Linked DNA regions of Astyanax mexicanus. The protein of the gene in region 1 purifies or fractionates together with the protein of each later gene. This does not show direct contact. Links are inferred from orthologs where the notes say so. Each region holds a gene or a part of one and is shown on either strand. Other genes may lie near its edges. The genes, in order: cdk8, mediator of RNA polymerase II transcription subunit 26, med1 and med9.

Evidence for each region.
Region 2: the proteins of cdk8 (region 1) and mediator of RNA polymerase II transcription subunit 26 purify together in Homo sapiens (affinity purification with mass spectrometry; 5 studies listed by BioGRID and IntAct, with this or other methods). This does not show direct contact. The link is inferred for Astyanax mexicanus from reciprocal best matches to the Homo sapiens genes CDK8 and MED26.
Region 3: the proteins of cdk8 (region 1) and med1 purify together in Homo sapiens (affinity purification with mass spectrometry; 14 studies listed by BioGRID and IntAct, counting the BioPlex papers as one, with this or other methods). This does not show direct contact. The link is inferred for Astyanax mexicanus from reciprocal best matches to the Homo sapiens genes CDK8 and MED1.
Region 4: the proteins of cdk8 (region 1) and med9 purify together in Homo sapiens (affinity purification with mass spectrometry; 10 studies listed by BioGRID and IntAct, counting the BioPlex papers as one, with this or other methods). This does not show direct contact. The link is inferred for Astyanax mexicanus from reciprocal best matches to the Homo sapiens genes CDK8 and MED9.

The regions. Positions count from the first base shown.
Region 1 is NC_064408.1:96,297,453-96,304,413, forward strand, and holds the start of cdk8 (cyclin-dependent kinase 8), read left to right. Parts: upstream 1-3,961; 5' UTR 3,962-4,290; coding exon 4,291-4,418; intron 4,419-6,961. Other genes in the region: E3 ubiquitin-protein ligase RNF6, read right to left, coding at 459-606.
Region 2 is NC_064411.1:30,858,357-30,865,562, reverse strand, and holds the start of mediator of RNA polymerase II transcription subunit 26, read right to left. Parts: upstream 3,024-7,206; 5' UTR 2,762-3,023; coding exon 2,690-2,761; intron 1-2,689. Other genes in the region: trnau1apb (tRNA selenocysteine 1-associated protein 1-like), read left to right, coding at 4,454-4,489, 6,150-6,247, 6,500-6,599, 7,013-7,065. UniProt on the Homo sapiens protein: Component of the Mediator complex, a coactivator involved in the regulated transcription of nearly all RNA polymerase II-dependent genes.
Region 3 is NC_064422.1:3,176,174-3,183,608, reverse strand, and holds the start of med1 (mediator of RNA polymerase II transcription subunit 1), read right to left. Parts: upstream 3,021-7,435; 5' UTR 3,000-3,020; coding exon 2,897-2,999; intron 858-2,896; coding exon 751-857; intron 647-750; coding exon 568-646; intron 1-567. UniProt on the Homo sapiens protein: Component of the Mediator complex, a coactivator involved in the regulated transcription of nearly all RNA polymerase II-dependent genes.
Region 4 is NC_064422.1:7,758,537-7,765,865, forward strand, and holds med9 (mediator of RNA polymerase II transcription subunit 9), read right to left. Parts: upstream 3,015-7,329; 5' UTR 2,993-3,014; coding exon 2,892-2,992; intron 480-2,891; coding exon 260-479; 3' UTR 21-259; downstream 1-20.

The DNA.
Region 1 (6,961 bases):
GTAAAGGAGATAAAAAGCACAATCTACATTTTTGCCTGTGCATCAATTAAAATTATGTCTCAGGCAGATGAGGCCCTATAAAAAGGTTCTCAGAGGCTACTTTAAAATAGTGTACTTCTTGGTGTGAGATCGTTGATTGCTAAATATGCCTCTACTATACACAAAAATGTCTTTTCGTGTATAGTAGAGGCATATTTAGCAAGTTCACAGTCTTTAAAAGTTACTGAACTAAGAGAAACAGTCATTTGTCAGCCAGCCACTATCGCCTTTGTTTGCAGTTGTGTCGTGAATAATAAGCCTGGATGGCTGTTTAGCGACAAATACAGGTTACATTTGACATCATTTCTAAATAAAGCAAGGTTTTAACACTGCTGATATAATGAGTTACATTAAATGAGTGCTCAAGCAAGACATTTTAAATACTGTGCCAATGTGTGTGTGTGTGTGAATGAGGTTACCAGGCGTGCCCAGCAGGTTGCTGTCTCTCATCAGCCGATACTCCTCCTCGCTCAGCTCGTTGATGAAGTGATAGTATGCCTCCTCCCGCCGAAGACGCTCAGCCTGACGGCGACGCTCATCTCGCCCGCCGGGAGGGTCCATCACCATGAAAACCGCTGTTTTTCAACAGTCCCACAAACAGAAGGGTTCAACATTAGAGCTGCAAGCCTATGTGCACTTACCTGCTTATTGCTGCTGATACAATGACCTCAAGACCATAACAAAAATGAACATCATTAAAGGTGCGATTACAAATGCCAGTATGTGAACTGCAAAATGACCATTATAAAAAAAAAATTTATGATGATAAGATCATAAAGAGCTCTATATTAATCTCTAAATAATGAAGAGAAGGTAATCATAGAATGATGACCCAAAGCACACTCGCTCAGAGGCTTTTCAACCCTAATAGCAAAACAAACTGTTTATGTATGCTTAAAGTACTTTCATAAGATCAATTAGACTGATTAAAATAAAAAAATACAAATGAAAGACAAAAGCTGACTGTCCTGCAGGACCACTGAGCAGAGCAGGTCTAAAAAAAATAGGCTAGAAGCATAGACATGAGACAGCAAAAATCACATTAAACGCACGCACTGCTGTCAGAAAACATGAAGTGACACCTTGATTAATTAACAAGACAACAGAGCTCCTTAATATCTCACACAGCAACCACTTGAAGGATGGCACCACTAGGTTAAATGAGTTAAATAAATAAAATAAATGCATACCAACATATACCAATCTCTCTGGATTTGCTCTAAACAACACATCTTTAAAGCTTGTTTGTAACAGGCTTTAAATATGTGGCCACCCTAACGACAGTAACACAATAACGCGAAAATTAACAATATATACGTAAATAAACCGCTGCCCTTTCTACACCAGCACCTCTGCTGTCTCTGACTATGGAGCTATATAACCTAACACAGTAGGCCAAGGCGAAGAATGTAAAGCAAGCAGAGCGACACGCTGACGTAGCCAGCGCAGCAGCCAATCAACAAGTCGATAGCGATGACTGGCACTTCGAATGCCCAATCAGAGCTGCCCGAAGGCGGTACGTGACTAAGAAAAGTCGGGCACCGTGTGAGCGTTTCTAACCGAGGCACAATGAAGAAGCCCCGACTTCTCTTTAAAACGTTATTAAAATCACACTTCACATGCAGCAATAACACGTGGCCACGTTATAGTACGACATGCGCAGACGAGGCCGAACAGCGAGCTGTCATTCTGTCTGCGCAGCCGGTTCTGCTGGTGTCGACAGATAGCCGCCGTGCTAATAACCAACAGCTAACCAAAAAGCGGGTTTGACAACCGATTAGACAGCAGACAGGTCCCGCCACGAACACACAGCTAAACACACCAACAACAACCCGGCCGCTTTCAGCGAAAGAGAGCCGCGGAGACACACATAAACCCGCCAGTCTAGTACCTGAAACAGCAGCGATAATATGGACGAGTCCTCTCTTTTTCCTCTTCGCTCTGATTACAATGTAGAGCTAAGATGGGACCAACGGAGCCACACACACTCGCGTCCGGCCGGCTACCTGACGCGCTGCACACACGTTCCTGTTCACAAGCACCCCCTCTTCTTCACCCCACACCCACTCACCCCAAACATTTTTTTTTTCATTTAATTATTTCAATTATTTATTTAAGAAAGACATTACTAGTTTTAATATTTAGTGGGCTCTTCAACTATAAAGACATTGGTCTTTTATTGTACATATATTGTATTATATAGTCTTCCTTACACTTATTTATAAGATTACTGGATCACAATGTTTCCCTTACATTTATTACTGTATCATACTGCTTCTATATTACTAGAATTTATGTACAATTACAGTAAAAGTAGTTACATTACAACACTGTACATCTGCAATATTCAACTGGCAATTTGAGTTTTTGTTGTACATATATTGGATCATACCATTTTCCTTACATTTTTTACTGAGATTACTAGATCACAGTTATTTCTGGAATTACTGTAAATTTGCAATATCCAACTGGGAAAAAATATTTTGTTGCACTGTGTATATATGCATATATGTATTATTATTATGATTTATTTTTAGTTCTTTAAAATCACAGTAAAATATTTTCCATTCGTATAGTGGAAATATACTAGAAATATAACTAGAAATGCCAGTAATTTTCTCTACATTTTTAAAGTATTTTAAAGCGTAGACAGGCACATCGCATATGTATTTGCTGCTAAAGCCTGAAATTGGTGCAAACATACTTTATAGCAAATATTTTTTATAATATTCCAATAAAATGTATATTGTCTAAAATTACTCATCTTTCTTTGTTGTTTTTTCTTTCACCTTTTCTATAATGTTGTCCTTCTAAATCTTAGCTAACACATAGCTGTGTGAGATTGGGACCAGGGTGTCTCTTGGTGTCAGTGCCAAACAAAGGCCATTGTTTTTTCTGAGTGAAGATCGTTGAAGAGGACGTGGAGTGTAGCTTTATACAGAGACTACACTCGAATGCTTAAGTAGCGAACGCAAGTTTAAGACGCAAAATAGTCGTTTTTTTAATTTCAAATACTCGTTTGGTAAAGAGTTAACATCCACGTGGTGCCTCCACAAAGCCCCAGTCTTTTCATTAGTAATGAAAAGTTCGATTCAGTTTGCCGAGTCGGTTCATTTAAACTCATCCGTTCGAAAGAGTCGAACGCACGATTCGGGTTACCTCGTTCTCGTAGCCTCTCTTGCAGAGTCATTGCATTTGAATGCAGAAGTCCCTAAGTGACATATACTGAACATCCTAAGAGCATCATTACAGAACAGTCTGCGAATCTCTGTTCGTTTATTTCACTTGATTTTTTCTTTATACTTTAATTAATAATTTGATGTTCTATATAACTATATCTGAAACAAATTCTAGAATAAAAATGTTAAAATATTATGAAGTTTATGAAATTGTTGTTGTGTTACATCAGGAGTTTAGCATTAAAATATTTACAGTCATGTACCCACAATCAGAAACAAACATGAATTAGCTGCTCACTGAAATAATCAGATTTTAGTTTGAATTTGGTATCAGTATTCAAAAATGAGTCTGTGCTCTTATGGGATACGTTGATATAAATATATAATTAGGGTTGCCCAAAGTGTGACTCCCAGCCACAACATGACTTATTAGTATTTTATATAATAACCTATTACATTTGTAATTTTATATATAGTGTAATTTAATTATTTTATAATTAAACACATTTTAACTGGAATCATTTGCTAATATGTTTAGACCAGCAGCATCAAACCCACCACAAACACACGCTCATCCTCCCTCTTCCTTTAAGACAATAGGTATGGTCATCTCTGGCGTGGACCCTGCAAAATAGCTTCCATTCCAACGGGGGTAAAATGAATCGGTTCAACAGACGAGTCAAAAAGAGCCGTTCAACGGAACCGGTTCACACGAGTCGGATTTCGGGGGTTTTCAGGCGAGCGACGGTTTTGCGACACTGCCGTAAGCGGAGCCTGCTCTCCCGAGTGAGATACCGGTTGCGAGAGAAAATCTAAAGGAACTATTTGGGGCAGAGCCACATATGGTGGTGCTTCACCTCAGCACACGTTAAAAAAACACGCTACCCCTCCTCACTCACACTCAGCCCGGGGTACATGTGGCGGCTGAGCTGAAGCGACGCGAGGGAAGGCAACTGATTGTGTGAGCGGCGCTGGAAGTAAGTTGCCTCCCTGGCGGCGCTTTAAAACAATCAGAAAAACACAAACACACACTCACAAACACACCCCGACCTGCCCACAGCCGCCCGGGACGATGGACTATGACTTCAAAGTTAAGCTGACCGGAGAGAGAGAGCGAGTGGAGGACCTGTTCGAGTACGAGGGATGCAAAGTGGGGCGAGGGACGTACGGTCATGTGTACAAAGCCAAGAGGAAAGACGGGTGAGTTTCACCACTCGGTGACAAAACGAGCTGAGTGAGGCCTGTGAGCCCTGCTGTCTGACTGTCTGAAAATATCAGAGAATGCCCCTGACATCTCTGCTGTGCTGCTACACCGACCGGTTCCGTGTCTTTTAGATTTACCAGCAGAAACAATAAACACAGAGTGCAGTAAACCTGCGAGTGAAGGCAGGCTGGTGCCACTGGTGTAGCTGGGTAACTAACTTAGCTGTGTTGTTGTCATTTATGGAGAGCGGCCCCTTTATTTTCTGTTTGTCTGAAAAAAAACGCCACACAATCAAAATTTGGTGTTGTGTGTTACCTAGGCATACTCTGCATTCATGGCATATATATATATATATATATATATATATATATATATATATATATATATATATATATATATATATATATCTTCTGTAATAAAAAAAAAAGCTTTTCTGTGTGTTCAGACTGGCAGTGAAAGCAGTCTGGTGTACGTGGTGTAGCTAGGTAACTTAGCTGTGTTGTCATTTATGAAGAGCAGCCCTTTTATTTTCTCTATGGTTGAAAAAAACTATAGCTATAAAACGTCAAAACAATCTAAATTTGGTGTTGTGTGTTACCTAGGCATAGTCTGCCTTCATGACATAACTATATATCTCTTCTGTAATAAAAACAAGCTTCTCTATGTGTTAAGACTAGCAGTGAAAGCAGTCTGGGTTCAGTGGAGTAGCATTAACTTGGCTGTGTTGTTGTTGTAATTTATGAAGAGTAACCCCTTTATTTTTTCTTCATCTGTCACTGGGGGTTCTGTAGTGTATGTTCAATCTTTTGCTAGATTTTCTGTTATGTGGTCACATTTCTGTATAGCTGCTTTGTGAAAATATCAGTTGTAAAAAGCACTATATAAATAAATGTGATTTAATTTGATAGCTATAAAACACCCTTTTATCGCAGTTTGTTGTCTGCCAACATGGCACATAGATATCTCAGCAAAATGAGCCTCTTGTGTGTTCAGACTAGCAGTGAAAGTAGTCTGGTGACAGTGGTGTAACTTGACTGTGTTGTTGTCATTTATGGAGAACAGCTTCTTCTTTTCTTTTTGAATAAAAAACGCTATAAAACGCCTCTTTGGAATCCAAATTTGGTGTTGCATCGTCTGCCATAATGGTACATAGATATCTCGTCTCAACTGTGTTGACAAGCAGTAAAATCAGTCGGATGTCAGTAGTGTCACATCGCTAGCTATTTATCCCTCCTGTAAAACGAGCTTTTCTGTATGTGCAGACTGGTGTGAGTGGTGTAAGTTAACCGATGGTGTTGATACTCATCCAGTGCACTTCCATTTACATCTATTAGGGCTACATGTTTTAATGACATTCAATCTTTTTTCAGTATATGTATATATATTAAAATAATAAAAACATACAGTAATTTCCACCACATTTCTTCTGAACTGGGACTGTGTTCTCTCTGGAGTGATTGTACATCTCACTAATGCTCCTTTTGCTAAATGCAATCAGATTCTCACAGAAATGTTCCAATATCAATGCTTTTTACTTTCCATAATTGGATTTTTATTGGAGGTGGCAGGTGTTTTTGCTAAGTATGTCTCTATAAGAGATTGCATAGTGCAAAGTGATGAAGACTAAGTGAATTAGATCAGTGGAGAGTAGCATAAAGAATATGCAGTGTCACATAAGGAAAGTTATATCACACATTTCCTTTCAAAAGGAAAATTTGCACTGTTCTTATTTTCCATTTTCAGAAGAAGGTGTCTGTGAGTTAATGTGTCAGAACTGAGTTGCTGCACTTTCCTCTGAGTGTGCTGGCTACTCGGTAATGCTACATCAGCAGCAGTTTGAAAAAGAGGCGGCTGACTTCACGTGTCAGAGGAGGCATGAGCTATTTTTACCCTCCTTGCGTTGTGGCATTACCTGTGATGGGGAATATAAAGCTGCCTTGCAGCTGAATGGGTGGGCCTAGCTAAATTTGGAGAAAATGTAGATTAAATAAGAATCTTAAAAATTAAAAGTTACTGATTTATCTCAAAAGGGAGAAAAGTACCTTTGGTTATTCGTTGGAAGGGATTTGTAATGCTTTGTGGATGTTTAGAAGAACCCATGGGTTATATGGTTGGGACTATGTTTAATATCTTAAAGAATTTATAATATTTAGCACCACTAGTCATTTTCTAACTATGATTGCTATAGCTCCACCAAGCTTATTAAAGTCTAAGACCGATGAAGAAGTTATCCAAGAGCAGAAATCTCTGGATGCACCTTTATTTTTTTTTACCCCAACTCTGTAGATTTTTGCCATGTTCTTCAGTCTAGGCTGCAGTAGTGCTGGGCAGTATACCAGTTTATATGGTATTTCCGTAGGGGAAATTAAAACCAGTATGCCTTTTTTACATACCGCCATACCGCTAGAGGCGCTGCGGAGGGCCATAAAGAACAGCTCCGCCGAAGAAGCACCCTAGCAGAGCTCACTAATGCTAGCCACTTGGCAACCAGCATGACAAGCCAACACACTGGAATTTCAGCTCTGTGGAGCCAAACGCT
Region 2 (7,206 bases), on another chromosome or scaffold:
TATGATGTGCTGCAGCTTTGCACATTTGTCTTCTGGTTTGTCAATTTACTATTGCCTATAGTCCTATTAACTAGTCAATGCTGCACTGTCCAAATAGCTGTGTCGCTCAAGGTTTGTGTCCATGTTGCGCAGTTCTACCAAACTTGTCAGTGTGGACGAAGTTATGACGTGTTCTACTTTCCATAGTAGACGTTACACTGCTCTAGCTTAGCACTGCAGATGTTGGTTTAACAATTCAATACTCTATGTGTCACCTAGAAGTTACACTACTCTACCTGAGGTTATCTAGAGGTTACACTATATAAGTAATTGTTGAATGTTACACTACTCTATCCATTTTCAGCTAGATGTTACATTTTAGCTGTTATGTCTTAATATTATACTACTCTAGCCGATGTGTGAGATGTTATTCTACTCTAGATTACATTAACAACATTTTACATCATTTTAGCCATTAGTTATTGCCTAGATGTTACACTACTTTGGCTGATGTAAGTGAGATGTTACTTATACTTAAACTTATTCTTTGTTGCCCAGCTGTTCCATACAACACTTTAACTAATGTCAGCTAGATGTTTTACTAATTAGCTGATGTTGCCTAGATGTTACACTAATCTATCTGATTCCAGTTAGATGTTGCATATTTATAGCCAGTGTTGCCTAGATGTTACAGTACTCAAGCTGATGTACGTGAGATGTTACCTAAACTTATTCTTTGTTGCCCAGCTGTTACATACACTACTCTAACTAATGTCAGCTAGATGTTACACTAATCTATCTGATTCCACTTAGATGATCATTTTTACTACTGGTTGTTGCCTAGCTGTTACACTATTCTAACTTATGTCAGTGAGATTTTCACCTAGATTTTAGACATTGTTACCTAGATGTTACAGTACTCTAGCTGAAATTGGTGAGATGTTACTAGGGCTGGGAATCAAAATTCTGTACCAATAAGGTACTGACCAAAATATCTCTGTAATACAGAGTACCAAAATGTAATCTGGTGCCCGTTTTTCGAGACTTCTAAACTGGCGTGTGACACAACATGCTCATTGTTTGATTATTCCAACAAGATCCAAAAGTATGGCAGTCTCTCATGGTGACCGTATGAGAATGAATTTTCTCATGTCTCTGTCTGTTAAATACATGCTCTGTGAGAATATTTATCGCTTTTTGTATGGTTACAATCTACAAAAAAAGTATTGTTTGGGCATCCGTACTGATTTTTTTTAATGATATCCAGCCCTAGATCTTACACTATTTTAGCTGATGTCAGTTAGTTGTTGTTGCCTAGATGTTACACTACTTTAGCTGGTGTTGGTTTAATGTTAACACAATTCTCATCAAAACTGATGTCAGTGGTGTTATGTAATTTTTTTTTTTCAATTGTTGCCTAGATGTTAGCTACAGTACACAAGCCAAAGTTAGCTACGGTCTTACAGCAATACCTGATGTTAAACTACTCTAGATTTCGTAAGCTAGCTGAGTGTCATAGTCCTCTGTTTGATGTTACCTGGATGTTAGCTAGTTTAAATATCTTTAGCCAACTTTGTTTAGGTGTTGTAATGAAATATCCTTATTTGTTGCTAATGGTACCTGGGAACTGACAGCTAGCTTAACAGCACTTAATCTCGTTCAGGTAGAACTTTAGACGATTTAAAATCGTAGTTATTGTCCTGTAAGCTTCTGTACTCACTTTAGCATCAACAGAGTGTCAATTTAACTAACTTAAACATCGTCTGACAGCGAGATCTAACTTGTTATTTAAAAAAAACATCGCGGTTTTCCAAAAAGTTGACATACAGCCCAAGACAAGTTAGCTAGCGCTAGCTAACTAACAGTTAGCCATGTGGCTAAAGCTAGGCGACCGTCTATCCAACGTTACATAGCTTAGTTAGATTAGCTAGCAAAGTTGTTAACATTTATTTGGTGTGGACATACTTTCACTGAACGTTTTAAACAGTTGTATATGTTAAAATTCGTGTTTGTGTAGTTGTGAGGGGAAACTGAGAAGTACAACTTTTCTGCAAAGTCTGAAAATGATGTAGTTAGCTTAGCATGGCTAGTTAGCGTTAGCAGGGTTAGCTTAGCTAGCTGGCGGCTAACGGTGATCATTGTGTAACTTGTGTCAGAAGGCAAACGAAGCTTTTGTTATGGAGGGGAAAGTAAACGATGTGGCCGCTATTATATCGCGGGAAGGCGCGGATTGAGTTAATAAAGGTGTTAAACGGTGATGCCAAAGTTTTGCGTTTCGCTCGCCAACTTTGGCTAACAGCTAGCCAGCTGGATCAATTGCCATCTTTTAAACACCAACCTAGCTAGCTAACGCTAGGCAAGTTAACGTTAGCAGCTTCTCATTTGATCTTTTCCAGTCCACCTTAAATGGTGCTGCACTTTCAACGCGTAGCCTGAAGCGCCTGAGTGTGACTGCCGCACTAGTAACAGTCGTTATTTAAGGTGGAACGGAGAAGATGTGAAGAGAAGCTACCTAACCTAGCTAGTTAGCTAACTTTATCCATGTCCATTATCGTTTTAATCTACGCAAAGCGATACGCGGTGTGTATTCGCAGTCTGGAGGATCTCAGGAGTGTGATGGTGAGGTGCTTTAAACGAGTACCCGCAGAGTTCAGCACTCTCCCCCGGGGCTGGCTGGCCGCCGGCCGGCCGGCTAACGGCAGCTACTCACATTGCTGTGGCTATCGATGGCCTGCAGCAGCCGGTCTCTCATCTGCTGCGGGGTCGCCGAGGCGGTTGTCATTGCCTGCTCGGAGCGAGTCGACGCGCCGACGGGGGAAAAACCCTCCGGGTTCGGGGCTGCGGGCTCAGCGGGGACTCACAGACCGCGGCGGGCGCTCGGAGCGGACGGGAACCGCATATTGGTAAGGTGATCCTCGGCTCGTGGATGTATGAACGGTGTCAGGCGGACAGCGAGGGCTGGACAGTGGAGTCTCTCCGCTTCATAGCTCACTGTCTGTCTGTCCCTCCCTCCGCGATACCACACTGCTAAAGCACGGCCCCGCTGCATTGTGGGAAGCTAAAACTCTCAAAAACGTCATTACGTCATTAGCGTGGCAGTGGAGCTCTGTGTCATAAATAAATAAATCAAAATAAATAAGTAAATAAATTCAGTTTCTGAATCAGTTTCTCTGATTAAACTATCCATAGGTATATGCTTGATTAAAACGAACATTGGGGTTTTATTCTATAAACTACGGACGAAATTTCTCCCAAATTCCAAATATAAATATTGTAACAGAGCATTTATTTGCAGAAAATGAGAAATAGTCAAATTAAGGAAAAAGATACAGGGCTTTCAATCCTCAAATAATGCAAAGAAGACAAGTTCATATTCATTTAAAAACAACAACAACAATACTAAAGTTGTATCTTGGGAAGAGATCAGAATCAATAATTGGTAGAATAACCCAGATTTTTAATCACAGCTTTCATGTGTCTCGGCATGCTCTCCACCTGTCTTTCACACTGCTTTTGGGGGACCTTATGCCACTCCTGCTGCGGAAATTCAAGCAGTTCAGTTTGTTTGATTTCCTGTGACCATCTATCTTCCTCTTGATTACATTCCATATATTTTTTTATTAGGGTTCATGGCTAAATATCGGGCTGGCCATGAGACTGTCTTGATCGGGTGGTCCTTCATCCACACCTTAATTGATCTAGCTGTGTGGAATTGCGCATTGGAAACAAAGCTGAACTGCTTGAACATTTTTTTGCCAGGAGTGGAATAAGGTCACCCAAAAGCAGTGTGAAAGACTTGTGGAGAGCATACCAAGATGTATGAAAGCAGTGATTCAAAATCAGGGTTATTCCACCAAATATTGATCTCTGAACGTAGGATTGTTGTTTCTAAATGAATATCAACGTGTTTTCTTTGGGTTTAGGGTTTGAAAGCACTGTACCTTTTACATTATTTTGACAATTTTTGACATTTTCGTCAAATAAATGATCTAAATGACAATATTTGTATTTGTAACTGTATTTGTATTTGCAAATGTTATCAGTGGTTTATATAACTAAACCACAAGGGTAATTTTACTAGCAAAATTATATGGATCATTTTAAAGTGGTGCCTTGTTTTCAGAGCTGTATACTGTATAAATATCAAATGTGTAATTATATGTTTGTATTTTGGCTGTGACTTGTTCCCACCTGTATTCACTGCATTCACACCTGCCTAAATAAACTGCATCAGGGGTGAAAACCGAAAGCGAATCGGAGTCCTGTTAAACCCGTTTAACTGTAAAGGGCGCAGTGCTGTGGCTGTGGTAGGTAGGGGGCGCTACTCTCCCCGTATATGATCCCGCACTGAACATACACACAGGGGGAGGAGAGGCCGGACAGGCTGCTCTGAGTAACACAGCTAGTTTAACACACACCGAGTTTATTTCAGTTTAAACTCAGGCTTAGGGTCAGTGTGCGGACCGGCAGCAGCATGTTTAACCGAATGACCAGCCTGTGGATGGGGGACGTGAGTGTTAAACCGAACTTTTAACTCTAAAACTCTTAATTATACAGCGGTTAACTGCTGTGGGTTATGAAGCTGTAGACACGAGTTAGCATCGTGCTAACGTTACGTAGCATTAGCTTACTGACTGAGTTAAGCAAGGAGCTAGCTTAGCCTAGCGTAACTAGCTAATAAACAACTATATTTACCTCTTTAACACGTTATCTTTACTTAACCCTGGATATATCTGTTTATTTTATATTAAACTGAGTCAACTCTGACAGGAATGTGAGACTAGCTCTCATAAAGCTCATAGCTTTATGTCGTTAGCTAGCGTTAGGTAAAGTTAGCCTCTTATTTCCGTTCCACCTTAAACCAACAGCTGCTGGTTCTCTCATGATCAGATATTTAAAGTGAAATGGGACGTTTCTATAAGATTTACTGAAGCTACGAGCTTAGTAAGCTAGTTTTTAGTGCAGAAGTCACAAAAGTTAAACTTTACAAATAACTATAGTTAGCTAGCTTACACAGAAATGTGGACACCCCTGAGTTGTAGGCTTAACAAGTAGTTAACTAGCTAACTAATAGATTAATATGCTATTTGTCTGTCTGGCTTACTTCAGTTAAAGCTACAAATTTGTAAATCTACAGCTCTGAGAAAAAAGAGAGACCATTTCAGTTTCTTAATCAGTTTGTCTGATTTTGCTATTTATTGGTATATGTTTAAGTTAAATAAATATTGTTATTTTATTCTATAAACCACGGACACTTTCTTCCAAGTTACAAATACAGATATAGTCATTTGGAGCATTTATTTGCAGAAAAAAGAAATGGCTGAAATAACAAGAAAAGGCAAAGCTTTCAAATCGCAAATAATGCAAAGAAAACAAGTTTTTATTCATAAAGTTTTAAGAGTTCAGAATTCAATATTTGGTGGAATAAACCTGATTTTTAATCACAGTTTCATCCATCGTGGCATTTTCTCCTCCACCAGTCTTACACACTGCTTTTGGATAACTTTATGCTACTCCTGGTGCAAAAATTCAAGCAGCTCAGCTTGGTTTGATGGCTTGTGATCATCTATCTTCCTCTTGATTATATTCCACTAAGGTTTTCACTTCTTCTTTTTAAGTGGTCCCTTATTTTTTCCAGAGCTGTTTAGTGAAGTCAATTTACAATTGTAACTAACCTTGTTAGTCTATGTACCTTAAATATAGAGATGCACATGTCTGTGCAAATACCTGTGTAAGTAAAAAAAATCATTAACTACATAAAAATACCTTCTTAAAATAATCACCTTCTCAAATAAACTCTTTTTTTTTTTTTTTAGAAAACATGGCTTATGAGAGTTGTTATGGTTGGCAGTATCAACCTTATTAACAGTATCAACCCAATAGTTTTAATTTCACTCCAATCACTTATACACAGGTTGCATTATTATTATCTTTACATTTTGGATCAGTTCTGGTGAAATTCCTGTATTTTTATTATGGCAATATATACTGTACTGTCAGTTTTTCGTATGTCATGCAGCCCTATATGGAACAGAGGGATAATGACAGTTAAATAGCCTAAGGCTATAAAGGGAATGTTTTAAGCACTTTTCTTTAAATTAGAATTCTTATTGTTTTAATTGTTTTAGTCAACACTAGCTCTGTACTAGTTTTATGCTTTTATTTTACAGCTGGACCCATACATGGATGAAAACTTCATCAAGCAGGCATTCAGCACAATGGGGGAGACGGCCTATGGTGTGAAAATCATAACGCACAGAGTCACAGGGTAAGAATTTTGACCTTTAGCTATTGGTAGAAGTGTTCTCTGACGGTATTTTGCAACACAGCAATAATGCAGTTGCTTCAGAGAAGAAGTTCAACATATTAATCTGTATCAATGTATTTGTATGTTTAACAAAATGTCCTGTGTGCAATATGTGAATAATAGATTGTTCTAAGTTGTTTTGGTTGTAATCTCACAGTGCTGTTGATCTCTCACTCTCTCCCTTTCTCCCACTCTTCCTCTCCCTCTCTCCAGAGGCTCAGCGGGGTACTGCTTCGTGGAGTTGGCAGATGAAGCCAGCGTGGATCGATGTGTTCAGAGACTGAATGGGAAGCTGGTTCCAGGGTCAAATCCTGTGAGTGCTGAGATTAATTATTTCATATTTATTTATATTCATAGATTTAATATTCATTTATTTAGAGTTTAGAAGTTTATCCAGCACAGCCCCCACCTGCTATGATTAAGACTCCACAGTATTTCTGTATAAGTAGTGATTCGGAGACTCAGAGCTGAATGTCTTCCTGAATAAAGGTGGTGAAGGCTGTTTGTAATTGACTTTGTTTGAAGCTGGTGAATAAACTCTGTTAGGAAGTAGCTGACGAGTGGGATAAAGCCAGTACTGAGTGATGGAGGTATGTAATTGTACAAAAGCTTCCTCATTTTAAAGTTATTCGCCATATTTATTAAAGAAGTATCTTTTATTTTACGGGACATGTTGTTTCTGCAGCTGAAAATTATATATTTTTTATTGTTTCCTTTACATTTTAGCCCAGGAAGTTCAAGCTGAACTATGCCACATACGGGAAAAGGCCCGAACCAGGGTGAGTTCATGTCCTTTTTTTTTTATTTATTCATAGCAATATTGTCCTAGAAATAATTGGGATAAACAATATTATTGTCCTTTTTAAGGCCATTTTATACCATTGGCATAATTAAATAATAAATGTTAATAATAATGCATT
Region 3 (7,435 bases), on another chromosome or scaffold:
CCAAAACTTATCCAAGCCTGGAAATTGGTATTTTTAAATTCCAAGACTTTTCCAGGTTTTTCATGACCGTATGAACCCTGGTTTACTTGCTCAGTGAAAAACTTAAAAACAAATAACCTTCATACAAACAGTGGTTTTATATCACAGTGTTCATTAAAACATCTCCACAGCTCTCCATGCAATATTTAGAATTCTCATCATATCAGCAGCTGGTTTAGTAAAATCAGAGTGTGCTGATGGTAAATCAGCTGCTGGTGGAACTGAACACATCCACTGGGACGCTGGCTGGGGTTGACCAGGAGAACCAGGAGGAATCAGGGACCCAACTTTGCTGTTTAGACTTCCTCACAATATCTCCACTAATTTCTTCAGAATAAGAAATTCTGGTTACTTTTAACTGCATTTATGTTTACCTGCATCTGATCTAATGTTTTTACAGCAAACACTCTCCTAATGTTTAAATAAATAATTTTAAATGATTAATATAGAGGATTAGAAACTAAAAAAGCACAGATCTGTATTTAAAAATTACATTTGTTTGAGTTGTGATAACCAGTAAAGCTTTACCTTTTAGTGCCTTCTGTAGTGTCTCCAAACAGCTGAGCAGAAGCTGGTGTCCGGCTGAATTCATCACCCCACGCTTTTCCTGAGCACAAACAGAAACAGTGTTAAAAAACAAACAGAGACTGTATTAAATGCTCAGTTACTCCCACCACTACAGTCCCTTTAGCCCCTTTGCTCTGCTCTCACCATGGCCTGTCTAACGATCTTGCTGGTCTCCTGCCAGGGCCGAGCGGCATTGTGCTTGGCGTGTAATCTCTCCAACAGGGCGGACACCCGAGTCTGCTTCTCTGCCTCTGAGGGGACAGACAAAACACAACAAAACAAAAATTAACAGTAAACAAAACGCCCTTGACCTGTTGTCAAATTTTTGCAAGTAAAATTATAACAATTAAATCACAGCAACTAAAATCATATCATTTAGACTATACAAGCTATACAATGTTGAAAATGTACAAAACGTGTTCCTATCTCTCCTCAGCTATCGGTACAAGGCTGACAGTCAGTATTTGATAACCCACTACATAAGAACACAGGCAACATTCTTTTCTGGAAATCATTGTTTTGGCCCCAGACATTGTATCCAGAGTGAGCGGTTCAATCAACAAATGCAGATTAAAGATGCATCATGCAAAAAAATAAGACAAATACGGGAAAATATTCACAATTCAAAAATTTGCCTTTCATAAAATATGGGTCTATGAGATTTGCAAATTTTTTTTTTAGTATCATTGTCAATTGCAACACTTTTTCTGCCAAATTTGGAGATCTAATTACCCAAACCACTCATTAGGACTCCCAATATCACTGGTAATCCCCTCAACAGTGAAGACCAATGTGGTGGCACGCATGTGCTGCTGACCCACATCACCATGGGGAGACATCATGGGCAGGGGCAAACATCATGTGGTGAGAGAATGCTATCTACCCACCCACAGAGAGCATGTCCCAACAAAAAACAAACAATTTTAAAGGCCTTAATGAATTTGCCTTAAGTCACACTCACATCAATCCCTGTTATAGGTGAAAAGGTTGATCGGCTGTGTATCAGTATCGGATGACTTGAGCTCCACAGTGCAGTTCTGTATAGTGATTCACAGACTTTGAGCTGAGCTAATGTTATGTTAGATTATTGTTATTATTAGAATTATAACTTATTTATATATTTCTACGATACTAAGATATTTCTAAGATATGCCCCTAAACCACTGATAGGGCCATCTCAAATTCCTGTAATATTATTCTACAGACCACATGAAATCCACATGCTTCTTTCACACTCAGATGATGCTTCTGTATCTCTCAATATGTCCTGAAATTATAGTTGCATAGTGGAAAAAATTACACTATTTTTGTTGTTCTGCAATGTTTATTGTGATATTCAACTAATTTTAACAGATTTCTCCAGAAGTCAAATATTGAATTAAATGTTAAAATCATAATAATGCAATCCACGTATCCACTGATGAAGTAAAATTAATGATACTGGACAGATGGAAAATAAGAAGTGTGTTCATTTTTCTTTCATATTAAGCAGTAAAAAGTAAAAAAAACTGACAATAAACAGGATACTGATACTGCTACTTCTTGTCATTACATATGTAGGATGGGTCTCGCTATCCTTCACACTGATTGGTGTGAAAATTGATGTCAGTTTGGCGAGTTGTCTTTCCATCATGTTTCCAAGTCCCTTTCAAGTGAAGGTGCATCCCACAGCAGAACTCAGAAATTAGATTCCACTCAGACTTAATTGTATTTCTGTTTATATATAAGGTGTCAAAATATTGATTAAGGTGGCTGTAATGATGGGACAGATTTGTGAAGCTGGGTCCCAGTAAAAACACACTTACGAAGCTATTCATGGCCCATATTCACCAGTAACCCACCTGAACCATGTTCCACCTATTGGACCCTGTTGACCGGGTATCTAAACTTCAAACCTGCGCTGTTCTGTTAGTTGGGTATTTAGCAACCTATAGCTAACTAATCAGCGAATCACTTTTAACAGTTTCTCTTTTAAAATACTATATGTCCTTTTATACAGACACCTTGCCATAACCCTATATATAACTCCCACATCTGGAATCCTTATAATAAGTAACATTATTATACAGAATTTATTAAATAGGCTGCCCTGCTCTTCAATTCATAACAGCAACAGATAATGCTAATGCTACTGCTAACACTAATGCTGGTATAGCTTGCTCTGTTTGTTAGCTAGCTAGCTAAGCTAGGCTATGTGGGTAAAAGACCCAGCTCAGTTCGGCTGGTAAAGCGCGGTAGATAGAGATACGCTGGTTAATCCGGCGGGTGAAAGTGATCCGCACACACGTACCGGTTCCCTCCTCCACCCTGAGCCGCTCCGCGGGCCCTGGGACCGCGGCGGTGTTTGCAGGCTCCGCGGCGGGGCTGCAGCCGGCTAACGGCACCGCCGCCATCTTCGCTCCCTCACGGCCGGTGTGACGCAGCGAGGGCGCCTGAGTTTGGGTCTGTCCCAAATCTCACAGTAAAAGTGCTGGGCTGTGTTCCAAACCTCCCACTAAGCTCTAAATTCAGGCTTTAGGGGTTTACAGGGAAAAAGCAGAGATATTCTTCTGTGTAAAACCCGAATTACCCACCTTCTTTAATGCAAATGTTAAATCAAAGCTTTCTGTCTGAAGTGTTTAACTCTATTAAAAAATAACATTTACTTAACATTGTGAATTAGGTTTTTTCCCCCAATGATGCGCATTATATGGAGGAGATAAACATGCTGAAAGGAATAAAAGTTCATCATATTTGTATATTTTTATATATTTAATACAGTAAACACACTTCCATATTAGAGCAGGTCATATTGCTAGTATATTCTAGAGGAGGTCTGAAACTGAACACAGAAGACCAAAACAGAAGAGGCCAGTTCAGTCCTTCAGTTAAAGAATTTTCGCTGTGGCTGCAAAAAGGCAGAATAGAGGAAGAAGAGAGTGTAACTGAGCGAGAGACCGATTGATTGATTAATGAGAATTTACTCATTGGCGCAAGCTACGAGATAATAAATTGTTTGGTTACCAGATACAGATCTGGCCAGCTTCTTGTTGGAGGAACGATTTATTTTGTTACGCTGTGTTATATAATCTAGTCTAGCTTGCCTCCTAAAGTTTTTACATTATTTCATGATGTTGTGGTCCAGATTTGGGTAATTAGGGCATAGATATTGCACATATTTTGATCCAGATTAGAATTTTTACTGATACTTTGTTTAAGTTTTACTATGTGTAATGTTTTATTTAGTGCTTCTGTGTAGTCATGTAATCATATTCTGTTTCATCATAGCTGTAGACACTGAATGTCTTGGTTGAGTCATCTTTTTTACCAATAAAGAAAACCTGTCATGCAAAATGACACAGACAAATTATCGCTACAGTTCAGATAGCTCTCTTGTGTTGGAGATGTACTGGCTCTGTGTCATTTCACTCTTAAACAGAAGCAAAAGAATGGAGAGGCTCAACCCTTACCTGGACATGAGTTACACTCTGCAACTGTAGGGGGAGCCCATGAACAAAAATATTAATCTTATCCAGTGCCCATTTAACACTGGAAATGAGTTTTTTAACAATGTAATTTGTTTCGTACCGTCAAATACAGTTTATCTCATTAAGAAAGCACCGTATCTCTATTTCTGTAGTAGAAAGGGAAACTTTGGCACAGCTAGTCTAGTAGGGGTGTTTTAGAAAGCTCTGCATAAAGGTTCCCTTTTCTACTGGAAGGGCAGAAGGGCATCCATATATGGCACTATGACACATTATCAATCATTCTAGGCCAATCGTTAGCCATCTAACATTTATTCACATTGATTTGCAGTGAATGTGAATATAAAGAGAAACCTTTTAGACAGGAGAATTCATTTCAGACAAACCAAGTCTCCCTGAAGCTGCGGGAGTCTCCCGCATTTCGGTAGTGGCTCCCTGATACCCGCGAGTCACATATAATCTCCCGGAATTCAGAACGAGTGCCCCAAACGCGCACTGCACACAAACACGCACACAGGCGACAGACTTTTTTTCTCTAATCGCGTGTGGGAGAGAGAGAAAACAGAGAGGCTTCTGATTGGCCTGTTCTCTGCAAAGAGTCTGTGAGACAGCCAATCAGTTTTTTTTAACCTCCCTGAAATCAACTTTTGCAACTTGGGATGTCTGTCATTTAATCTTTGAAACAATGAATGCATAAGAAAACCATCTTTTGCAATATTGAATATGTAAGAAAAAACATATAATATTTGAAACGATAAAGCCAGGTTCTGTACCCATAACCCTTTAACAGTATTTGTAAGTTCATATCAAATGAGTTTGAGGTCAGTCTGGATACTGTAGAACTACTGTATCGCTTGCTTATTGAAAGTGCTTTATGTTATAACAGTTTGGTTTGGGACTGATGAGATTAGTAAAAAACTGGTAGGAGAAAGTCAACAACAGTACTTAAAGAAAGGCAATACAATTTAGAAAAGGATACACTTCACCCTTTCAACTTACAATTCTAACAGATGCCATCAGGCAAATGATGATGCCAACAGCTACTAGTAATATTCACAGGCGATTATTTGTACCAAATGCAATAGAAATTCTGAATACATCAGTTGTTTAATTTGTTTTGCAACTTTTTTATTTTAAAATATGTGATATGTTGTAGATATCTTTGTGCCATGAGTGACCAAAGATTCATTTTCACATTTGGACAATAAACACATTCTATTCTATTCCGTTGTAAAATGTTTTACAACATGATGCTTATTTTAGATAAGAATACTTTAATCACAATATGAAACTGATAGTAGGGTTCAGTGATCGGCTGATTATTGCCATTTTTTATAGGGCAGGACAGCTTTAACCAGCACATCCAATCTCATCACATCCAGGATTTACATACTTTTCCCCCCTCACTGTGAATGTAACATGTTGTGTTTAGTAAAACCGTGCAAACATATAATTTTATTGTGTAGTATGTCTTCCTCTTCATGTAAGGGAGTTTTTCCATGCCACTGTTGTCGCAATAATAATTGTCATGTCTGTGGTGCTGCTCAAAAAAGGACCTGTTTTTCTCTGTAAAGCTGCTTCGAGACAACTTTTGTTGTAAAAAGCGCTATAGAAATTAAATTAAAAATCAAATTGAATAGTCAGAGACCCCTCTTCTGTATTCTCCTATCTTGCAAAAAGAGTCTGTAAAAAGTACTAACACCAGGGGTGCCAATAATTGTGGAACACATGATTTCATTTAAAATATTTTCCCCACCAAATAAAGGCACTTGAATTGCATTGTTGTCCTATAATTATAAAAAAAATAGTCAAATTGACACAGACAAAAAAAAAGTATTGTTACTGTGGGTGTCGTGATCAATTGTGTGTACATAATGGAAATATCACTAAATGTGTGGCTGAAATGTGTGAATAGTGTGAAGGAAGAACATGCATGGAAACACCAGCATCATGTGGAGTAATTAATATCATGTTGTATCATAAAATAAACAGTGTATTATCATTATTTGGATCTAGCTAATTCATGGAAGCTGTCCTGTATTTAGTTGGTTTGGTTAATGGTGGTAATTACAATACATAGGTCAGGTAAATGCTGTAAATACTACACTAAATATGTGACTGAGTTAATGGCATATTCTGTACTTTATTTAGTAATAAGTTAAACATAATAAAAGAACAGTTGATCACATTTTGTTGCATTATTTATTATCTCCTCTGGATATCATTAAAATGTACTTTACTGAGGATGCTGTGGAAACCCTTTGGAGAAAAGTTAAGCTAGACTGTTATTTATATTGCACATTTTATTTGTCAGTATTTTCCCATATTTTGTGTTTGTTTTAAATAAACTGTAAAAGAGATTATGTTGCTTGAAAATCAGTTGTGAAAATATATACATAATATATATACATAAATAAATATATACATAAATAAATTATAAATATAAATATAAAATGTTAAATCAATTATATACATCTGCTGTCTAAATATCTGCATTGGCCAATAAAAAAAACAATATCGGTCGATCTCTAGCAGGGTCTTTGACTGCTAGTTTTCAGTACCAGGGGGAATGTCCAAATTCACTATACTGTAGTAGCACAATGCAAACAGAGGAGGGCAGCATTGGCAGACATGTTGAAGCTGTAAGGACGTGCTCCAGTGAAAGACGCTGAGTACCTAGAAGCATATTTTTTTCTTAGAACAACCATCCCATAAAATGAGCATCAGATAACAAATAAGCATATGCCTTTAAAAAGCCACCAACATTCGCCTGGCGATGCTAGAGCTTAAAAAAGCAATGAGAGAATCTGAACACGGCCTACGCAAAGTAAATAAATAAAATAACGTGAAGAGAAAAGGTGTGTTGGTGTGTGACTGTAAAGCTGTGTTTGAGTAAGAAAGAGAGGGAGGAGAGAGATAGAAGCGATGCCCGCTATAATTGATGTGTCTACTGGGAGCTGGCAGGGGATGGGCTTGGCATGAGTGCCAGCATATCAGTAGAATAAAGGAAGGAGGGGGGCACCGCACATGGGCACAGAGGCTTCGAGCTGAAGCTGTGCCATCAATCAGAGGGTACTTCACCCCGCCACGGCAGCAGGGACCCCCCTATTGGGCCGTGGGGTGGGTTAGCGGGGCACGTTCGCCGGTGCTAAGTAAGTCTCTCCTGCCCCACCCGCCCGTTATACAGTGGGCACACAAACCCGGCAGCCTCTGTTACCCATCTCTTTCATTCCGTGCCATTAAGATCTTCATTGATCCGCCATTTTGGTTCTGAGTTTAGCGCACTGCCTGGCACCACCTGCAAGTCTTAATCCGCCATCTTGGCTCCGTCACTGCAGCTCAGGCTGGTCTTCTCGCTGGCCGGG
Region 4 (7,329 bases), on another chromosome or scaffold:
AACTGAAACGTGAAAGGATATGTTCTTAGAAAATATGTTTGGTTTATTAGACACAGCTTTGACATTTTCAGCAGTAAAAAATAAAAAATAAAAAATTATCTAACAGCAACTAAAGCACAGTCAAAATCAGTAAAGTCACACGAATGATGGGGAAAAGCACAGTCCCTTGTGTGGAACAGTTCTTTTTCAGATGAGTTTGTCTGTCAATAAATAATCCATCTGTCCTTATTTACTCTGTAGAATCCTCTGATCCTCTTCCTCAGGAAGGCTTGGGGATGTCAAACATACACAGGCCCTTGTACTTGTGTAAGAGCTGGTTCTTGGTACGAACCTGATCCCTAAGCGTTTGCAGACGCTGCTGCTGTGCTGATGGACTCGCATCAATGCCAGGCATAGCTGAAATCTGCTCCCGTGCCTCCTGAATCCGTGCTCTCAGTCTGTTTAACTCCTGGTGAACATCCTGGTTCTCTTTGTCCATGCTGTGGATGCAGAGCCAGATATATCCATTTTAAAAAAGACACAGTGCAGGTAATACAACAGCAATAAGTAAAGATGAGTATCAAAAATCTGTACTTTAACAGGACAAGATTAGTAACTTATATTATTCTACTGATTAGCAGCTATGACTCTATAAGCATTTCTAAAATTTAAGGATTCAAGGAGACTTTATTGTGGTTCACATTAAATGTGGTGCATGAGACTAAAGACAACTGTATTCTCATGGTCCAGTTACACCAAAAAGAGCAATTGTTAAAATAGTTAAAATAATATAAATATAAGAAAAAAATAAAACAGCATAAAAATAAAATAATATAAAACCATACATACAGCAATATGAAATCAAGAGTGCAACTTTTGCTATAGCAGCATGGAAATGTGTGAACGAAAAGCAGTAACATATTACATCCAAACATCTGATTGGCTGTCAAATTTGCATTGCTGAATTTTATCATAAATACTTCAGAGTGGGTTTGGGGTTGAATGCTCTGTTGTAATGAAACTTACCAAATCAAATTTGTTTACAGAATGTTATTACAGCAAATGTTTTTCAAATACACTGCCTGATATCTGAGATACCCCTGGCAAAATGTACCAAAAAAGTATCTGTTCAGATTCACCACCACAATTACATTTAAAACTTTAACCTTATTTATTTTAGTGGTGGGCATGACGATATTTTATTGTAATAAGATGCATTTTCTTATTTAATTAACATTAAACATGTTTATGCATCAGTAGTATAGGAAAGCATTTTAATTGTATATTTTATGGATCTGTCACTACTGATGCATCTTGACCCCCATTTCAAAACAATTTTTCACCACCTTCCTTAATAATAGCCTTTTTTTTTTTTTACCAAAATTGTTGTGTCTGTCTAAAGCATCTCTTTATGGTGCTGTATTGCCACCTGTGGTAAATTCTTCTACAGCCTCAGCTGATCAGATTATTTGATTCTACCCCCTTAGGAATAATGCCCTATTTCAGAATGACTTAAGCTTTATTATGCCTAATACAAGTTTAATTAAGTTTCCTTTTATAATAATAAAGGCTACAAATAGACTATGCATTTTGCATGGCTGGTTAATCTTATTAGGTTTTATTGGGGTTTTAGTCTGCATTTTTGTCAGCAAAATATAACTAAAAGCATTAAAAACAAAGCTAGGTAGAAATGTGCTACAATTTGTGGCTGTTAAAATGTTTTCTGTCTTTAATTGTTTTTTGTCTTTTCAAAATTTTGATATAGCACTGATTCTGGTTTGTTTTACTGATGGGTTGTATGATAACTTTTTAAGAGGATAGTTTATCATCTGAAAAACGTGAGAAAATGTATTTTATTTTGATTATTTTAGGAAAGTGTCGATATTGAAATCTGATTATGATTAATTTATTTGTTTATCCTCCAAAGCTTTTGGTCAGTTTCTGTATAAAGTGATATTTGGACAAATTGTGGGTCACTGTAATGTTTATCAGTATTTTCTGACTATGAGAGGCAAAATTAGAGTGTGTATTATTTTTTTCTATTTGGCATTATGAAGAAAATACGGTTTTCATCCGTTTTCCCAATGTTCTATTAATCAGGAAATTTCAGGGAAAAAATGAATTTATGTTACTATTTTTCCATCCTGTTGCAAAAGTAGTTTGTAACAGATTAAATTAGTTACACTGAACATCTGGGTGTAAGAAACAGACGTTATAGAAAATAAAATAAAGCTACACTAGCTAAAAAAGTTTACTTAATGTTAGTTAGCCAGCATGGAAGTAAACAAATAACAATACCTAGCTAGCTAGCTAACCTACAAGTTTAGCTGAACAAAATATATGTTAATTAATGCTTATTGTCCTTAGGGTTTTGTTGTCAGCAGACATTCATTGGTGCAATAAGAGTTACATGTTTGTTTAACTGTATAATTTGGACATAAGTTTATAGAGGCTGTGTTAGAGTGACCCGAGTTTGGAATTGTCCGTTCCACCTTAAAGGTTGCAGCAGTTAGCTAGGGTTAGCTTAGCTTAGCTACGTTCTGGCGCCTCAGATGCTAGCTAACCTTTTAAGGTGGAACAGACAATAGCCACAGCACTCTTTTACAGCGTCACATGTAGGTTAGCTGTTTAATTACACTTTTATGCTGCCTTATTTATCCTGCATATAATAACAGTGTATATACAGCTCTATATTTTACACATCTTTAATTAAAATAATACTGTTTCTCGAGCAGTAAAGCGGGAACTCAGAAGCTCTCTGCTAACTAGCGTTAGCCTAGCTAACCTAGCGTTAGCTTTTGTAGCTGGTCCCGATAGTTTACCGGCCGTAAACCGGTATTTTCTGTATTCAGACTTTGTATTTTGGGCTTGTTCAGTTGACGACAGTCTAGTTTAGGGCTGTAAACTCTTACCATTTGATAATATCGTGAATTAGAGGTAAAAAGGAGTAATCCTCCGTCTCCTCCACCACAGCCACAGCGCTCGCCATCTTCAGCTGACTGTCCTCTGACATCACAGTCCTCTGACATCAGCAACACAGACCAATCTGACTATTATTCAGATTATTATTATTAATAATATTAGCTATTAATCACTGCAAGGCTCGCGTGCCTCGGCGTGTGACGTTTCTTTTTGTCTTTGTTTGCATTTGCATTTTTCACGTATTAAACACATGTATTCAACTCAACTCAACTCAACTCAACTTTATTTATAGAGCACTTTAAAAACAACAACAGCTGCAACAAAGTGCTGTACATAGCACATTATAAGATAAGAAACAAAATACTAGAAACAATGACAAATTAAAATGTAGGTATCAATAAAAAGTTTCAGATAAATCTAAGAACTAAGTAAAGTAAAAGTAAAAACAAAATAAAATAAAAACAGAAATAAAATAAATAAAAATAAATAAAAAATTAAAAAAATAATTAATTAATAAATAAAACAAGAACAAAGTCTTAAGTTGGGTTAAAAGCCAAGGAATAAAAATGAGTCTTTAGCCTGGTTTTAAACGTGGACAGTGACGGGGCTTGTCTGACATATAGTGGTAGGCCATTCCACAGTTTAGGAGCCGCAATTGAAAAAGCTCTATCCCCTCTAAGCTTGCGTTTTGACCTCGGCACCTCCAGGAGCAGCTGATCAGCTGACCTAAGGTACCGAGCGGGGGCGTGGGGGCAGAGCAGCTCAGTGAGGTAAGGCGGAGCGAGTCCATTTAAAGATTTAAAAACAAATAAAAGAATCTTAAAATGAACTCTAAAATGCACAGGCAGCCAGTGGAGGGAGGCCAGAATGGGAGTAATGTGCTCTCTCTTGCGTGAACCTGTTAAAAGTCGGGCAGCGGCATTTTGCACTAACTGAAGGCGTTTAAGGGAGGACTGATTGACCCCAAAATATAGTGCATTACAGTAATCCAGCCGGGATGTAATGAAGGCATGGATTACTGTTTCAAAGTGCTCATGTGTGAGAACTGACTTCACTTTTGCCAGCTGCCTAAGGTGGAAGAAGCTGGACTTGACTACTGCACCAATCTGGCGATCCAATTTAAAATCACTGTCCATCTTAAAACCCAGGTTAGAAACTGTAGGTTTCACATACAGCGCCAAGGGGCCCAAATCAACAGGGGGGGCTTCACAAGAACCACTGGGACCAAACACCATCACTTCTGTTTTCTTTTCATTAAAATTCAAAAAGTTTAAAGCCATCCAGGCTTTAATGTCATTAAGACATAACAGAAGTGGTTGAATAGAGAAATCGTCTTCATTTATTATGTTCTAATTAAAGTATCAGTAAAACATTTGGACACACCTTGACCCTTTCAACTCTGAGTTATGTTCCAAAGAGGGATAAGTATAAAAATGCTTTTTTTTCTACCTTTAATGCACACAAAGTAAGTAACTAATACCATAGTACCAACATTTTTATTTAATATGCGATATTGACCTTTATATGTTACAAACCATTTCTACACAGTGAAGTAAACATGGTTAATGTGTCAAAAATCACATATAAAATTAGTTAAAATAAGCTCTAATTACTTTGCCTCATTAGCATTAAGCCCTATCCGGATGGGATAAGTTTCTCTGTAAAAAAAATATTTCACACTTCCACTCAGTGATAAAACTCTTGCAACCAGACCTCATTTAAAAAACAGGAGGGCCAGTGAGTTTTTTAGCTTTCTCGGTCACATGACATCATGTTCAGTAGCCCCTCCATTTCCACTAGCTGTTGTGTTTACGAGGATCTTTGTGAAAACCTGCGCCCAAAGTGTAATTACGGTGCGTAGCAGTGGACAAATAGCTATTTTATTAAATGCGAGGTGATGGAACTCAGAGATGTGCGTCCGGATGGGACTAAATTACCAGAGGACCACGGAGTTCAGTGAAAAACTGTAGGCAATTCAGCCTATAATTTTCTTAGAGGACCCCTGAAAAAAACACATAAATGGTCGTTCTGGATGGTCATATCATAGAGGACCCCCATAATAGAGAAAACTAGCAAGCTGCCAAAGTCAGAGCAAACCTGGCTCTTAAAAGAGAATGGCACACGGATAGGTTTATTTCACATTATGGCCAAAACACACCCATGATTAATTAAGAGAATAAGAACGAGTTAGTTTCAATCTGTACAAGGTGTACTTTTCCAGTCGTTACAATAGCAAAGGCACACTGATTCACCCTAAATCAAGCTGCATGGTGCACGGTTGGTGGCTCACCTACAGATGACCTCTGTTGCACAGGATAAGTTCATCAACCTTACCAGCCTCAGAGTTACCAGCCTAAGAAACCTCAATTTAACAGCACTCCACTCAGACACAACTACTGCAAATTTGTGGTCTTTACTCTGACTCGAACCCTGGAAAGTCTGGGTCCTGATTCAACACTAGTTACTCTGGGCCGCTCTTACGTGGGACTTATGTAAGAACCTTTTCCAACCAGCTAAAACATCACATGGTCTCTGGCAGAGCTGAGCAGCATCCTGGTCAGATGAGGAAAGCTGGAGAGCACTATAGGGACCACATTGTTTGTCTCGACACACAAGGCTAGGGTTGGACAGGGAGATGATCTTCAGAGGCTTTTTGATTTAGCATGAAACAGTGAATCTGCAGCATCTGTGTATCGTTTCATCCACGGCTTCCTCCTGACTGGAACCAACCTACGCATGAGTCAGGCAATAGTTCAGTCAGAGATGGGATTTAACACGGCCGAGTCTCTTACATAGCTGGAGATCACGGGTGTGCTGTGGAGCTTTAAAGATATTCTGGATTATTCGTTTCGGGTCAATGTCTGATCTCTCCTTAGCAATAAAAGATGGCAAAAACATTGGTCTATTAAAAAACTGTTTACATTTTCAGATTCACCCTGTTTTCTGTAACTGTTTTTTAGTACGGTGTGATGGATGCAGCACCTAGGAGTAGGCCATTGTAAACTGGGCCACATCTGGACAAGGCTTACCTGTAAAACACCAAAAAACCCAGAAAACATACAATTTTGGGCCCACGCCCCAGTTAAGGTTCTTTGAGTTAAGATAAGTCTTCTGTAGTTCAAAACTAACAAAGTTGTACCCACACAGCTAATTCATGGTTCTCACTACTACACAATTTTAGTGCAGAATATTTTTTTGTAGTTTTTCCAAAAAGATGTGGCTAAATGATTGCAAAAGAGTCACAGAAGCACAGCAATCATCTAGCAGGTTTGATATCTGGACCAGTTGGCAAGCAACGACAACCTACAGCCAATGAGAATGCATATAGAAAGAATTAATGTATCTTCTGCATTGCATCACTAGTTCTTGTGTGCATTTGTTTTTGGAGAGCAGCAGATGATTTTGTGAAAAATTTGGTCTTACTAATGTGTCTCTAATAACTGTGTAGTTACACATTAACAATCCATGTAATAACAATGTAACTACTGTCAAAGTACACATTGTTACAGATAAGAATAGCCCTATTTGAGTAATGTTTTAATTCATATTATGGCAAGAACTACTCAATTAAGCAAAAGTCAACAGGACCACCCCAGAAGAAAAATAAACTTTTCACTCTTTCAACCCTAGGAGTTTCCTTGCTCTGGGACAAATCCAGTATATTATTATTTTTTTTATTGATGCATATGGATGGCACAGCTTTCACTACTGCCAGTGCTTAGTTCTTTTTGAGAAATTGTTGTTGTACTTTGTCTTTTGCGCCTCACATCTGTGACCCCTGGAGCATTTCTTTATCTTGTTTGTATTTTTTATGCCAGAAATCTGCATTGGGCTTTCTGAGCAGTCTGAACATAGCCTTGGTAAGCTAGTTAGGTTTCTATCTTTATTTTTTTATTTTCACAGCACTGTGTGTGTGCATTTACACACTTCGCTACACTGGAAATTATGACCACCCTCATTGTTTTTCTGATGAAAGATAAAGTTAGATTGCTTGATTGATTTTTGCAGAGGCTAAAAGAGTTGACTCTTATCAGTGAAATGAGTCATTTGATGTGATTCTCTGTAAGCAGCTGGATGGACATTGCTGTTGAAGAGGCTGCAGTTTTGATCCTGACGTGGTGTTTGCGTCTGTGTGTGTGTGTGTTTGTGTGTGTGTGTGTTTGTGTGTATGTGTAGTGTAGTGTTTGGTCACAGTTGGCCTCACTGGTTGGGTGCTACAGCAGGTAAACAGAACTCCATCTGATAAAAGGAGAACTCTCTGAGAACTCAACCAACCGCTCATCTAACCAGAGCCAGCCATCGTCCAGCTGCTCCTGGTTCTCCCTCTGATCAGCGCTTTGTGTGTGTGTGTGTGTGTGCAGTGGGCGAGAGATGACAGATCTCTCTCTCTGTGAGTCAGAGGGTGTATCTGTGGGCGCAGCAGCTCTG